3 linked regions of the Mus musculus genome follow. The protein of the gene in region 1 interacts with the protein of each later gene in a pairwise test. Links are inferred from orthologs where the notes say so. Each region holds a gene or a part of one and is shown in the gene's direction. Other genes may lie near its edges. The genes, in order: Pitx1, Zbtb32 and Mgat5b.

What was found.
Region 2: the proteins of Pitx1 (region 1) and Zbtb32 interact in a two-hybrid assay, tested with the Homo sapiens proteins (2 studies listed by BioGRID). The link is inferred for Mus musculus from reciprocal best matches to the Homo sapiens genes PITX1 and ZBTB32.
Region 3: the proteins of Pitx1 (region 1) and Mgat5b interact in a two-hybrid assay, tested with the Homo sapiens proteins (2 studies listed by BioGRID). The link is inferred for Mus musculus from reciprocal best matches to the Homo sapiens genes PITX1 and MGAT5B.

Annotation. Positions count from the first base shown.
Region 1 is NC_000079.6:55,828,818-55,832,561, reverse strand, and holds the start of Pitx1 (pituitary homeobox 1), read left to right. Parts: upstream 1-1,136; 5' UTR 1,137-1,621; coding exon 1,622-1,790; intron 1,791-3,744. UniProt on the Homo sapiens protein: Sequence-specific transcription factor that binds gene promoters and activates their transcription. May play a role in the development of anterior structures, and in particular, the brain and facies and in specifying the identity or structure of hindlimb.
Region 2 is NC_000073.6:30,590,710-30,594,453, reverse strand, and holds the start of Zbtb32 (zinc finger and BTB domain-containing protein 32), read left to right. Parts: upstream 1-1,511; 5' UTR 1,512-1,542; exon of another isoform or gene 1,543-2,488; 5' UTR 2,489-2,585; coding exon 2,586-3,397; intron 3,398-3,584; coding exon 3,585-3,658; intron 3,659-3,744. UniProt on the Homo sapiens protein: DNA-binding protein that binds to the to a 5'-TGTACAGTGT-3' core sequence. May function as a transcriptional transactivator and transcriptional repressor. Probably exerts its repressor effect by preventing GATA3 from binding to DNA.
Region 3 is NC_000077.6:116,946,310-116,949,953, forward strand, and holds part of Mgat5b (alpha-1,6-mannosylglycoprotein 6-beta-N-acetylglucosaminyltransferase B), read left to right. Parts: intron 1-162; coding exon 163-333; intron 334-917; coding exon 918-1,082; intron 1,083-2,205; coding exon 2,206-2,375; intron 2,376-3,644. UniProt on the Homo sapiens protein: Glycosyltransferase that acts on alpha-linked mannose of N-glycans and O-mannosyl glycans.

The DNA of each region.
Region 1 (3,744 bases):
GGCTACAGAGGCAGGTCAGGGCCACCTCAGTTGTGACCTGTTTACTCAAGAAGCTGAAGTCCCTGGGCCAGTTAACAATTGTTGGATAAAATCCTTGGACAAACTTCATTGGAGCGTGAGGAGCTAAGGAGGGGACCACTCTTGTGAGCCTAGAGGGTAAAGTCTTTGCTTGGGGAGGGGGGAGCTCTGGAGCTACAGTTTCCTAGCAGTGTATCGGGAGAAAACCCAAAGGCTTCCTAAGCTCCCAGCCCAGGGTTGTGAGACATCAGTCACCTGGCCTACCAGGCCTCTGCTGAAGCCCTGAGAATTCAGAAAGTAGGCCCCACACTGGAGCAAAGTTACCCTAAAGGAGGGCAGAGGCTGGCAAGGCCTACCTGGTGGCTGCCAAAGACCTGATCATTGTAGGTGCAAAACAAAGGGGGATGTGGAAAGGCCACGGGCCTGGTGGGGCTCTTGGGGTCTCCAGTCCCACTCGCCATGGCCTAGAGCCAACAGAAACGTTTCGTCTGATTAGAAGCCGTCATCTCTACCCCAATTCCGGAAAATTGACTGCGGTGCAGAGAGGAAGGCCATGAGAGCAGCCTTAGGGGAGAGGGTCCAAACTAATTAGAAGACAGCATCCGGGGCCCATTAGAGCTCGCAGGCTGCTGTCACTCAGCCGGCCCCGAGTTCCTGGGAGAAGCGACTGAGGTAGGAGGGGCCCGTCTGCCCCTCGAGGACGACACCACCGCTGGGAGCTGCAGCAACCGGGAACCGGCCCCCCGGCTCTGCCACTGACTGCCCTGGCGCTGGCTCGGAGGCGCCGGCTCAGAGCGATCCTGCTCAGCGAACCTTCACTCATTCTAAGTTGTTCTCTCCCGTGGCTGGGGACTTGAGGTGGCCCAGACAGGAGTTGACTCTCAGCGAAACAAGTCACTTGGGGCCCCCAAGGTGTGCACCAGCCGCCCGGGGCTAGCTGGCCAGATGCGTTTCTTTTGTGCGGCCAAGGGAGAAATTCGTGTGTCACCGGGGAAGGAGGGAGAGGCGCGGTGAGGCCGCGGGAGAGGGGGGGAGGTGAGGCGGCGGGAAGGTGGCTGCGACGGGGAGGGCGCGGGCGAGGCCAGGAGGGAGGGAGGGAGAGAGGGAGGGAGGGAGGACGGCGGGGAGGGCGCGGCGCGGGCGGCTCGAGGCTGGATTCCGCCCGCGCCCGCTCCCTCGCTCGCTTGCTCACTCGCTCGCGCCCTCCCTCCTTCTCTCCCAGCCCCCTCCCACCGAGGCCCACCCCACCCACCACCCCTGGCGCAGGGACTGCTGGAACCTGGCTGCGCGCACTGTCGTTTTCAGACAGACTCTGCGGGCTCCGACCCGAGCCTTAGAAACCGGCCTCGAATCGGGACTGGGGCCCGGGCCGGCCGGGCAGCTGAGGCCGGAGCAGCAGGAGCGCGTGGCGGAGCCCCGAGCCCCGAACCCGGTCCCGCAGCCTGGAGAGGTCGATGGAGCTCGAACGGCGTCGCTGTGGGCGCGGGCAGCCCTGGGGGGCAGCCGCTTAGGCGCCACTCTCTTGTCCCCAACAGGTCGCAGCCTGGGCGGCCGGGAGCTCCCAGCCCCGGCCCCTGGAGCGCCCGTTGCGGTCCCCACCTCCATGGACGCCTTCAAGGGAGGCATGAGCCTGGAGAGGCTACCGGAGGGGCTGCGGCCACCGCCACCACCACCGCACGACATGGGGCCCAGCTTCCACCTGGCCCGCGCCGCCGACCCCCGGGAGCCGCTGGAGAACTCCGCCAGCGAATCGTCCGACGCTGATCTGCCAGGTAAACGCGGCTCCCCCAACCCGCGGCGGGCATCCAGCCTCCGCGCACACCGGGCGGCTTGGCACGCAGCCGGGTCCCCTCTGCGTCTCTGCAGCGAGGAGCTTTCTTTTTCCTCCCTGGTCTTAACCTGACGATGAACACGGAAATTTACACGCGCGTTCGCACGCACACGCGAAGTCACTTCCAAACAGTCCCCCACACGCCAAGCCCTGAGTGGGACTGGCAGCCCCTCTGGAGCAGGAGCAGATAGCACGCGGGAGAAAAAAGTTGAGTTTTCCCTAACTGGTTGCTGAGGAGTCGCTGGGGCTCAGGGCGAGAAGCAGATGTGCAGGGAGTAGAAGGGGTGGCCAGACAAAGTGCCCAAAGAGACACCTTGACAGATGGAGGAAAGAATCCTAAAAGAAGAGGTGGGGTCACAGAGCAGGCTAGAAGAGAGGGGTCCGTAAAGCCGAGCTCGAGCTCTGGGGACAGCGAGAGCCAGCCAGCTAGGAGGCGCGGCCTGACTCCCGGCAGAGCCGGCAGAACCCTGCTGCAGCGGGGATCCTGGCCCACGTGGACACCTCAGCCCAGAGCCACCAGGGGTCCAGCCAGGGTGGGTTCTCGACTCCACAAATCCCCCAGTTGTCTTTTAAAAAACAAAACAAAACAAAACAACCCCGATCTCTTGAGCTGGGCCCGAGATTGGGTGGCTTCGGCCATGTCCGTTTCCAGGCCTGTCCTGTCTTGGAGCGGCTGTGCACGGGAGGGGGGTCCCAACCCCAAATAGTCACAGATCTCCAGGCTGCCTGGGACAGCCATCCCGGGCCCTGGGCATCTCTTCCACGTTTATTTAATCGGTATTTGTTTCTGTTTTGCATCTCTAAGTGACTTTTTTCCAACCTCTGTTTGCTTGGTTAGAAAACAAAGCTCTGAGTGTACTTTTGTTTTTAGAAGTTTTAAGCGTGGTGTTTGCTTAAAAAAAAAAAACCTGTAGAGATTGATTTTCAAATCAAATCTACAGGGATAAATTAACAATTTTAACTGTATGCTTCCTTTGACACAATTCACTAGGAGTATTTCTCTGAAATTTAAAAGAACCTACATGCCACAAGTTACTTGGAGAGATTTTTTAAAAGTCAATTCAAAATGGCGCATTTCTTTGAGATTCCCCCCCCCCCCATCAAAATCCATTCGTAGCAGTTTTATTTTGTGAATTTAAATCATCTCGCTGTAATGTATTTATCTAGGGTTTGGAAAGTATCTCTCCCAGTGTTTGTGTGAGGGAATCTAAAATTTACCTGCAGTGATGCATAGATTCTTTTTCCCAGAGAAATGGCCATCTGACTGGAGTTTATACACATTTGGCTGTGTGTTTAGTTTAGGGGTGTGTTCACAGGAACGGTTTTGACTTCTTGATCTACATTTGCTCCGGTTCTGCCTCCCTGGCTCTGAGGGTTTGTGCACCTTTCTGTTTCTAGGGAGAGAGCTCTGAGCTTTTCTAGGGCTCCGTTTTGGTTTGTAGTTCCTTTGCGTTATGTTTGAATGCTATTGACTACTGTGTGCATCTTGAGTAGCTTTAAAGAGACAGAGAGGCCCGGGTCACTTAGACAGAATATGTCTGTCTAGGCTGCAAATGGAGGGTTTTCTAGACCTCAGAATCCGAGGCCGGTAAGGCTGGGATCCAAGCTAAGTTGCGGCTCTGACACAGCCCTGGCAAGAACAACATTCCAGGCGACTACATGGCTCTTACCCCACAGATATGCTAGCTTCAGCTGGAAAGTTTTGATGCCCGTTCAGGAAAGCTGAGGTGTCCGCTCAGATTTAGACCTTCAAGAGTCTCAGCAGGGCCGCAGCCAGCGAGCTGCAGAAGCAGGCCCTGCCTAGCTGGGAACCCAGGCCCAGATGTGGCTCCCGGGCTCTTTGCTGTGGCACGCCAGATCTAGGGGTGCTTACTGAGAACCGGCACCCGGCCCTT
Region 2 (3,744 bases), on another chromosome or scaffold:
AAGTGCATGATGTTAGGAATTAGAAAGCTCAGAAGTGGAAAATATTTAACATTCAGAGGAGCAGATGAACACAGGGTTCCATTTGCATTTTCCCTTTCGCTCTGACTCATCTTCCCCTATCTCCACCCTACTAACCCTTCACCAGCCTCACCCACCGACACACCCTGTCTGATCTAGGAGGGTCGCCACCTGCCTGCACCCAAGCTAGAATCGGAGGGAAGGCATCCTAGGTCTGGAGGGATAGAGTAATAGAAGGCTGGACTGAACATCTTGGAGTCCTGGAGCCAAGGGGGAAAAACAGATCTGACTGTTCGTTATTGGCTCGAGGAGGGGCCAGAAGCTAGGGAGAAACCTCAGGGGACTCAGCTCATTCTGGCACCACAGCAGCCCAGCCAATGTCTGGCCTGTCTCTCCTCTCCGTATTTACTCCATATGTATGACAGATTAGACACCTGCCATGAATGAGAAGAGCAGCTTAGGATCAGATTGGTAGAATGGTAAAAAACAAAACATAAGTAAAATAAATTAAAAGGAAACAAACAAATTTGAGTTTCAAAGGCTTTTTATCCCTTCCTCAATTTAAAGAGTATCAAAACTGGGCGTGGTGGCACTGGCTGAGACAGGATGATAGAGATTTCAAGACCAGCCTGAGCTACACAGGAAGAAGACATATGGGGGGGGGGCGCTAAAGGTGTCAAAAGAGGTGGAAATCTCTAGGGACCTTGACCCCTTGAGCAGAAAATGAAAGAAACCCCTGGTTTTGATTTCAGAGAAATGTCATTTGTCATCAGCCCAAGAAAAGGAGATTTTTCTCTTCGAAGACCACCACAGGCTTCCTGGGGTTGCCCCCCTCAGAGTCTGCTGGGAGGATCTGAGTCACACACACCTAGTCTTTGCTGTGGTCCAGAGGACAAGGGTCAGTCTCATAGAGGAAGGGGGGCCTGATGAACTAAGCCAGGGAAAGGAGGAGCCTTGGCTTTTCCTCTGCCTGCTGCTTCCCATTCTGTGTTTCTATGCTTACACTTCTGAGGTATCACAAGTGCTTTTCCAGCTACTCCTTGCTATGGCCACCTCCAGGATGTAGAACTAATAGCAGCTGAATGCTGTGTTGTGCTCACAGACTGCTTCCTCATGCATGGCACTTCATTTTCACCCCCACCTCTGGACGAGACCATGACACTTGATGCATGAGGTGACTGAGGGAGGGATGACGTGCCCAAGGTGACTCAACTAGTAAATGGCAGAGATGAGGCTTCAACTCTTGACTATCCCAAAGTCCCTGTCACCACAGGTTCACATCTTTGACTCTACAGAACTCACAAGTGAATTAGACTGAGGAGGCAAGGCAGTCCGGGTTGTTAAAAGTAGATCTGTAGCCTCTCTTATAGGTCCTAAGCAGAGACAGTAAGCCACACCCCTCTAGGGGACTGTGGCAGACTAATACTTGGGATGACTGAGGACGGGGTGGAGCTAACTGGGGGTAGGTGGGCAGGAACCCCAGGAGCAGTAGTGAGCATGCGGTACTAGGAGGCAGCTACAGAGGTGAGTTACCATCCCTCTCCCCAGCTGTGCTTTTCCTCCATTCCAACCTTCTTTCTACTTCCTGCCACCCTGCATCCCTCACTCCAAGGTGTCTAAGTAGTTCCTCATTCCTCTCTCTGCCTCCCCCACCATGCTGCTTACTCATGGAGGGTCCACACCGAGCTAGGCCTGCAGGATGCTAAGACTCGCAGGCTATCTCTCTCTGTGTCATGATGGTTTTGATGTGTGATTAAAGTCTTGACTTGTTGAGCACTTTCTGAGTCTTAGTCTTTTGGCTTATGAAAAACAGAACTCAACCATTCTTTATCCTCCTTGTGAGAGGAAGTAGCTTCCCTTTCCCCAGTCTCTTTTTCCTTTCTTTCACTTCCTCAGGCATCAAAGCCTTCTCTAAAACTCTTGTGTGACTCCCTTAACCCACTGGATGGAGATCTCTGCTCTTTTCCAATCCCTTCTCAGAGGGTGTATTCTAGAAGCTTCAGTCTTGCAGAGACAATTGTGTGACGCCTTAAGAGTCTTTTGTCCTGCCATGTGAGCTGTCTTGATGCCTTCTCTGGCTTTCTGGGCTCATGTTGGGGGAGGACCCAAAAGCTGTCTGAGCTCTCTCATGAGGTCGCATCTTCCTCCATTCATAAATGCCAGGTTTGATGCAAAGTGTGGAAAAGGCCAGGCTGTTCAGAGGCTTTCCCTGCAAAAGAGCCTGGGGAAGCCAAACCTTCCTTAAGCTGGGTGTTTGCTAACTATACCAGCCCTAAACCCACTATCTGATACCTCTGCTAACTGCCTGGCTGTCGTTCTTCAGGCCCCAAACCTAACCTCTGGCCCAGTGTGCATTCTCCTAGTGTGGCATCCCCACAGCTGGCCTTTGGCTTAGTTTATTTGATTCATTCAGGACAGACAGCACCAATCTGAGCCCAGACACTCACTCTTTCTCCCTTCCCCTTCACAGGCCAGAGAGTATGCGGTTTCTCTCCCACTTCAATCATGGATCCCCCATTGTGGCTTTCCTCTCAGAGCCTGTGAAACTGGTAGATTAGCCAGGAACAATGCCCCAGACCCCCACAAGACTAATCAGCCCATATGGCTCTGATAGGTTGGTACAGTTAGCGGCTAGACTCCGGCCAGCACTGTGTGATACCCTGATCACAGTAGGGGGCCTGGAGTTCCCGGCTCACAGCCTAGTGCTGGCAGGTGCAAGCCCAAGGCTTGGCTGCAGGGGCCGGTGGGCTCTGGTTGAAGACATAAGCCCTTCCACCTTTGCTCAGATTCTGACCTTTGTCTATGGAGAGAGTATAGAGCTACAGCCTGGGGAGCTGGGGGACCTTGAAGAGGCAGCCAAAGCCTTGGGGGTACAGGCCTTGGAAGAGGCCTGTCAGAGAGCTCAAAAGGGCAAGGATGAAGATGAGCTGGATCCAGGACTGAAGAGGCACCAGCAATCAGAAGACTTCATGAGGGGCTCTGAGAGAGGACTTGGGAGTCCTGGAGAGAAACAGAAGCCAGAGAAGGATTTTAGAAGTAATGGGAGAGAACAGGAGATGTCACACAAGCATAAAGCACCCGGAGAGAGGCCTGAGATGGCAGGAGCAACTAGGATGATGAGCTCAGAGGAGGTCATGCGAGGTATCGAGAGCCACAAGGGCTCTGAGGAGAGTCTTCGTGGGTGCCCTGATCCCCTTTCCCCACCAGGTTCCCTCCTAACTAGCCTCATTCCCAGGCCCTGGTGGGCTGAAGTCCCTAGGTTGGGGGAGGGCCAGTCGGCCTTGTGGAGCATCTTGTTGTGGCCCTCCAGATACGGTGCTCCCTTCTCCCATAGTACCCCCATCACTGCGGCCTGGCAGGTCCGGCCTCAAGATCAGAGGTGAGTGAGAGGCTTAAAGGAGGACATCTAGGCAGGGAGGGAGTGGCTCCGGAGAGGCAGCAGTGATGGTTGGAAGGGTTCAGTGTACATTTCCTGAGTTAGAGACAACAAATATTGTCATCACAAGACAGGCCAGAGTCAGTTAGGTTCTCAGGCTTTGCCAAGACTGTAATTCTTCTCCACCCAGGATCCCACTGACCTTGAACCACTCCAAAGCTCTCTGGAGTCAGAATCAGCTGGCTTCCTCTAGCCCCACTCCAGGTAAGCCCCTCAGTATTCCACACAGGGCTTTTGCCCAGTGGCTGGGCTCCAGGAGTCCAGCCTTAGCAGGGCCCCTACTTCACTCT
Region 3 (3,644 bases), on another chromosome or scaffold:
TGGCCCAGCCTCTCTCTCCCAGTTGTATGTCTCTAGCGTTCTGCTGCATCTTTAGGTTGGGGCAGGCCTCACGGCGAGATCTTGGGGACCCTGTGGCTAGGGGAGTCCATGCGGTGGTGTGTGGGTTCCTGGCTGCCTACCCAGGCCTGATGTTTTTCACAGTGGATGCGCGCCCGCTGGACCTCTGACCCCTGCTACGCCTTCTTTGGAGTAGACGGCACTGAGTGCTCCTTCCTCATCTACCTCAGTGAGGTTGAGTGGTTCTGTCCCCCGTTGCCCTGGAGGAACCAGACAGCTGCCCGGACAGCCCCCAAGTCCCTTCCCAGAGTCCAGGTAGGCCTAGATTGGATATCCTTAGGGACAGTGGGAGGGAGCCTCACTCCCACCCCCCCCCCACCTGACCCCATGGAATGGGGCTCCCAGCTCTGCAGGCTGAGGATCCCCAGATCATCTTCTGTGGAATCCAGTACAGGGAACTTGCTTGGGAGGCAAGAGACGTCCCCGGAGAAGTCCTTAATGGGTTAGAATAACAGCAATAATAGCTGTCATGTACCCAGGGCTTTCTGAGTGCATGGCACTGTATTTGTCCTTCTGTGAGTAGATGTAATGGGTGAAGATTCATGGACTTAGAGAGTTAACAGGTTCCAGGCACCACTGACCTTAGCACCACTCAAAGGCAGCTCACCCCTGGTGATTCAGGGCTGATTGGGTCCCCAGAGGACTCAGGGGTGGGTGGTTAACTGGGGAGGAGGGCTAGAGTGAGTATTGGAAGGTGCAAGCAGAGCCTCCCACCCTGATGCTGAAGCAGGCACCCACCTTACAGTAGGTGGCAGCTTCTGTCATGGGAAGCCGGGGATGGGACGGTGATGGGATGGATGGTCAGGGACTGAGAGAGCTGGCCTGTGGTCCCAACTTAGGCTGTGTTCCGAAGCAACCTGTCCCACCTCCTGGAGCTGATGGGCAGTGGGAAGGAGTCCCTCATCTTCATGAAGAAGCGAACCAGGCGGTTCACCGCACAGTGGACCAAGGCTGCCAAGTACCTGGCACAGAAGCTGGGGGACATTCGGAGGGACCAGAAGCAAGTATGTTATCCTTTCAGGGAGTGCTTGGACAATGTGCTTACTGCACTGGGGCTCTAGGAGGGCGTGGAACTCCAGGTGGAAATAGGCCTCCAGGTGGGAGTAGGTCTCCAGGTGGGAGTGGGCCTCCAGGTGGGAGTGGGCCTCCAGGTAGGATTGGGTCTCCAGGTGGGAGTGGACCTCCAGGTGGAAGTGGGCCTCCAGGTGGGAGTGGGTCTCCAGGTGGGATTGGGTCTCCAGGTGGGAGTGGACCTCCAGGTGGGAGTGGGCTCCAGGTGGGATTGGGTCTCCAGGTGGGAGTGGGCCTCCAGGTGGGAGTGGGCCTCCAGGTGGGAGTGGGCCTCCAGGTGGAGAGTGGGCTCCAGATGGGCATGGGTTTCCAGGTAGGCATGAGACACCAGGTGGGAATGGATCTCCAGGTGGGCATGAGGCACCAGGTGGGCGTGGCCATGAAGTTCCAAGTAGACACAGTTCTAAGTAGCCATGAGCCTGTGGTTCCCAACAGGCACAGGGTTTCAGGAGGTCACAGGTAGACAGGGAATTCTGGCTGGGCATGGTGCATGTCTTTGAACCAGTGACATTAGTTTCTTTTAACTGGATTCAGTCACAGGACATGAGGGTGACAGGGTTGAGCCCCTGGCCCCTTCTCAGGCTGGGCCAGCATGATCAGCCCCTGGAGGTCCTATGTCCTTGGGACATTTTCATCGTGTCAGGCAGAAAGGTTAAAGGGGTCCGGGAATAACAGACTGAGGAAGGATTGTTGGCCCAACTGTCCATCTGTCTGTCCATCCGTTTGTCCATATGTCCATCCATTCTTTTATTCACGTAACAGAGAACCGCATGCTTGTCACCTCCTTTCTGTCGGAGTCCTTGTCATTCATAAAACTCTGTCTTGTCTGTGTGTACTGCTGTCCATTCTTTCATCTGCAAGGTGAGCTCCACGAGGCAGTCGCACACCCACCAACACCTACGGCTCCAACATCTAGGGTCTAAAGGCAGTCAACCAGGCCTGGCCTGGAGCCCCTGTGTGCTATGCTGTGGGGTGATCCTGGGCTGGGGTATACAGACCTACGAGCTGCTTGCTGCTCTCCTCTGACCCCCCGCCCCCTCTGTCCTGCTCACCCAGATCCTTGTCCACATTGGCTTCCTGACAGAGGAGTCTGGGGACGTGTTCAGCCCAAGGGTACTGAAGGGCGGGCCTCTGGGAGAGATGGTACAGTGGGCAGACATCCTGGCTGCTCTCTACGTGCTGGGCCATAGCCTGCGGATCACAGTCTCCCTGAAGGAGCTGCAGAGGTGAGTGCCAGAGAGCCTTCACATCCTGGTGGGGTAGGGAGGGGATGAAGGGCAGCCTGGCCACCGGGCTGATGCTCTGCCTTTGGGGCCCACAGCCTGGAGGTGGCCCTCTGTCAGATGCCGGTACTCCCCGTTCCCTCCTCCACTTGCTTATGTGCTTCCCGCTTCCTCTTCCATGCAGACACACGTTTGTATTTAGAATCCACAGAGGAAGCGTGTTTGCATAGCAGCAGTCTGCAGGCTCTTGGCCTTTGCCAAGAGACTAGGGTTTGGGTCTGTGCTCATAGGCTAATGCATAATGTTTTGAGAGAGGAGTCACCATGTCCACATGAGGTCCCTGCCCCGAGGGTCTTCCTGGTAGGATGGGCATAGTCTTCAGGGGGTGTTTTTAGGAGCTGGACTCCTTGGGCATTCTACAAGGGCATTAGGGTTGACAGTGATGCTGACTGCCAGTGCTGGGCTTGTCCAGGTCCTTCTGGAACTGTGGAACATAGACACACCCCCACCCTGTGTGTGGTGGTGAAGAGGGTCTAAAAGATTGTTTGTGTGTGAGAATGGGGGTAGGGGTTGTCTGGAGAGTAAGAACATGTGGAATGCAAAGGAACTGGAGTGAGTGAGTGTGTGTGTGTGTGTGTGTGTGTGTGTGCTCGCGTACGTGTGTGAGAGAGGGAGACAGACAGATAGAATCAGAGACAGACAGCGACAGAGAGACAAAGTCAGATAGGTAGACAGACAGAGGAGTACTGGCAGATAGGAGTGTGTGTGTGTGTGTGTGTGTGTGTGTGTATGTGTGTGTGTGTGTGTGTGTGTGTGTGTGTATGTGTGGTTTTGTGTGTGTGCTGTTTGTGTGTGGGTGTTGTTTGTGTGTTTGTGGGTGTTGTTTGTGTGTGTGTGTGTCTTGTCTAATGTCTAATTGGGGTAATGTTTTTATCGCTCATCTGTTAGATGCAGACATAGCTAAGCTCTCTCTTACTTTATTTGTTATATTTCTTGTGTGGCGTTGGATATATACCAGGGTACATCTTTTAGATGTGCTTCTAGATATGTACTAATGCAGTTATGAGGTATGGGAACAAAATGACCCACTGTGCTGTGGCCATCCACTTCAGATAGAGACTATTACCAAGGACATCTGCCCAGCTATACCTGCCCTCAGCCATCCAGGAAACCTGTACTTTGAATTTTGTCTCGTGGGCCAGTCTCATTGACTCAGGGGAATGAGGAAGCGGGGGCGGGGCTGTGTTGTTGGGAGGGGCACTAAAATGAGCC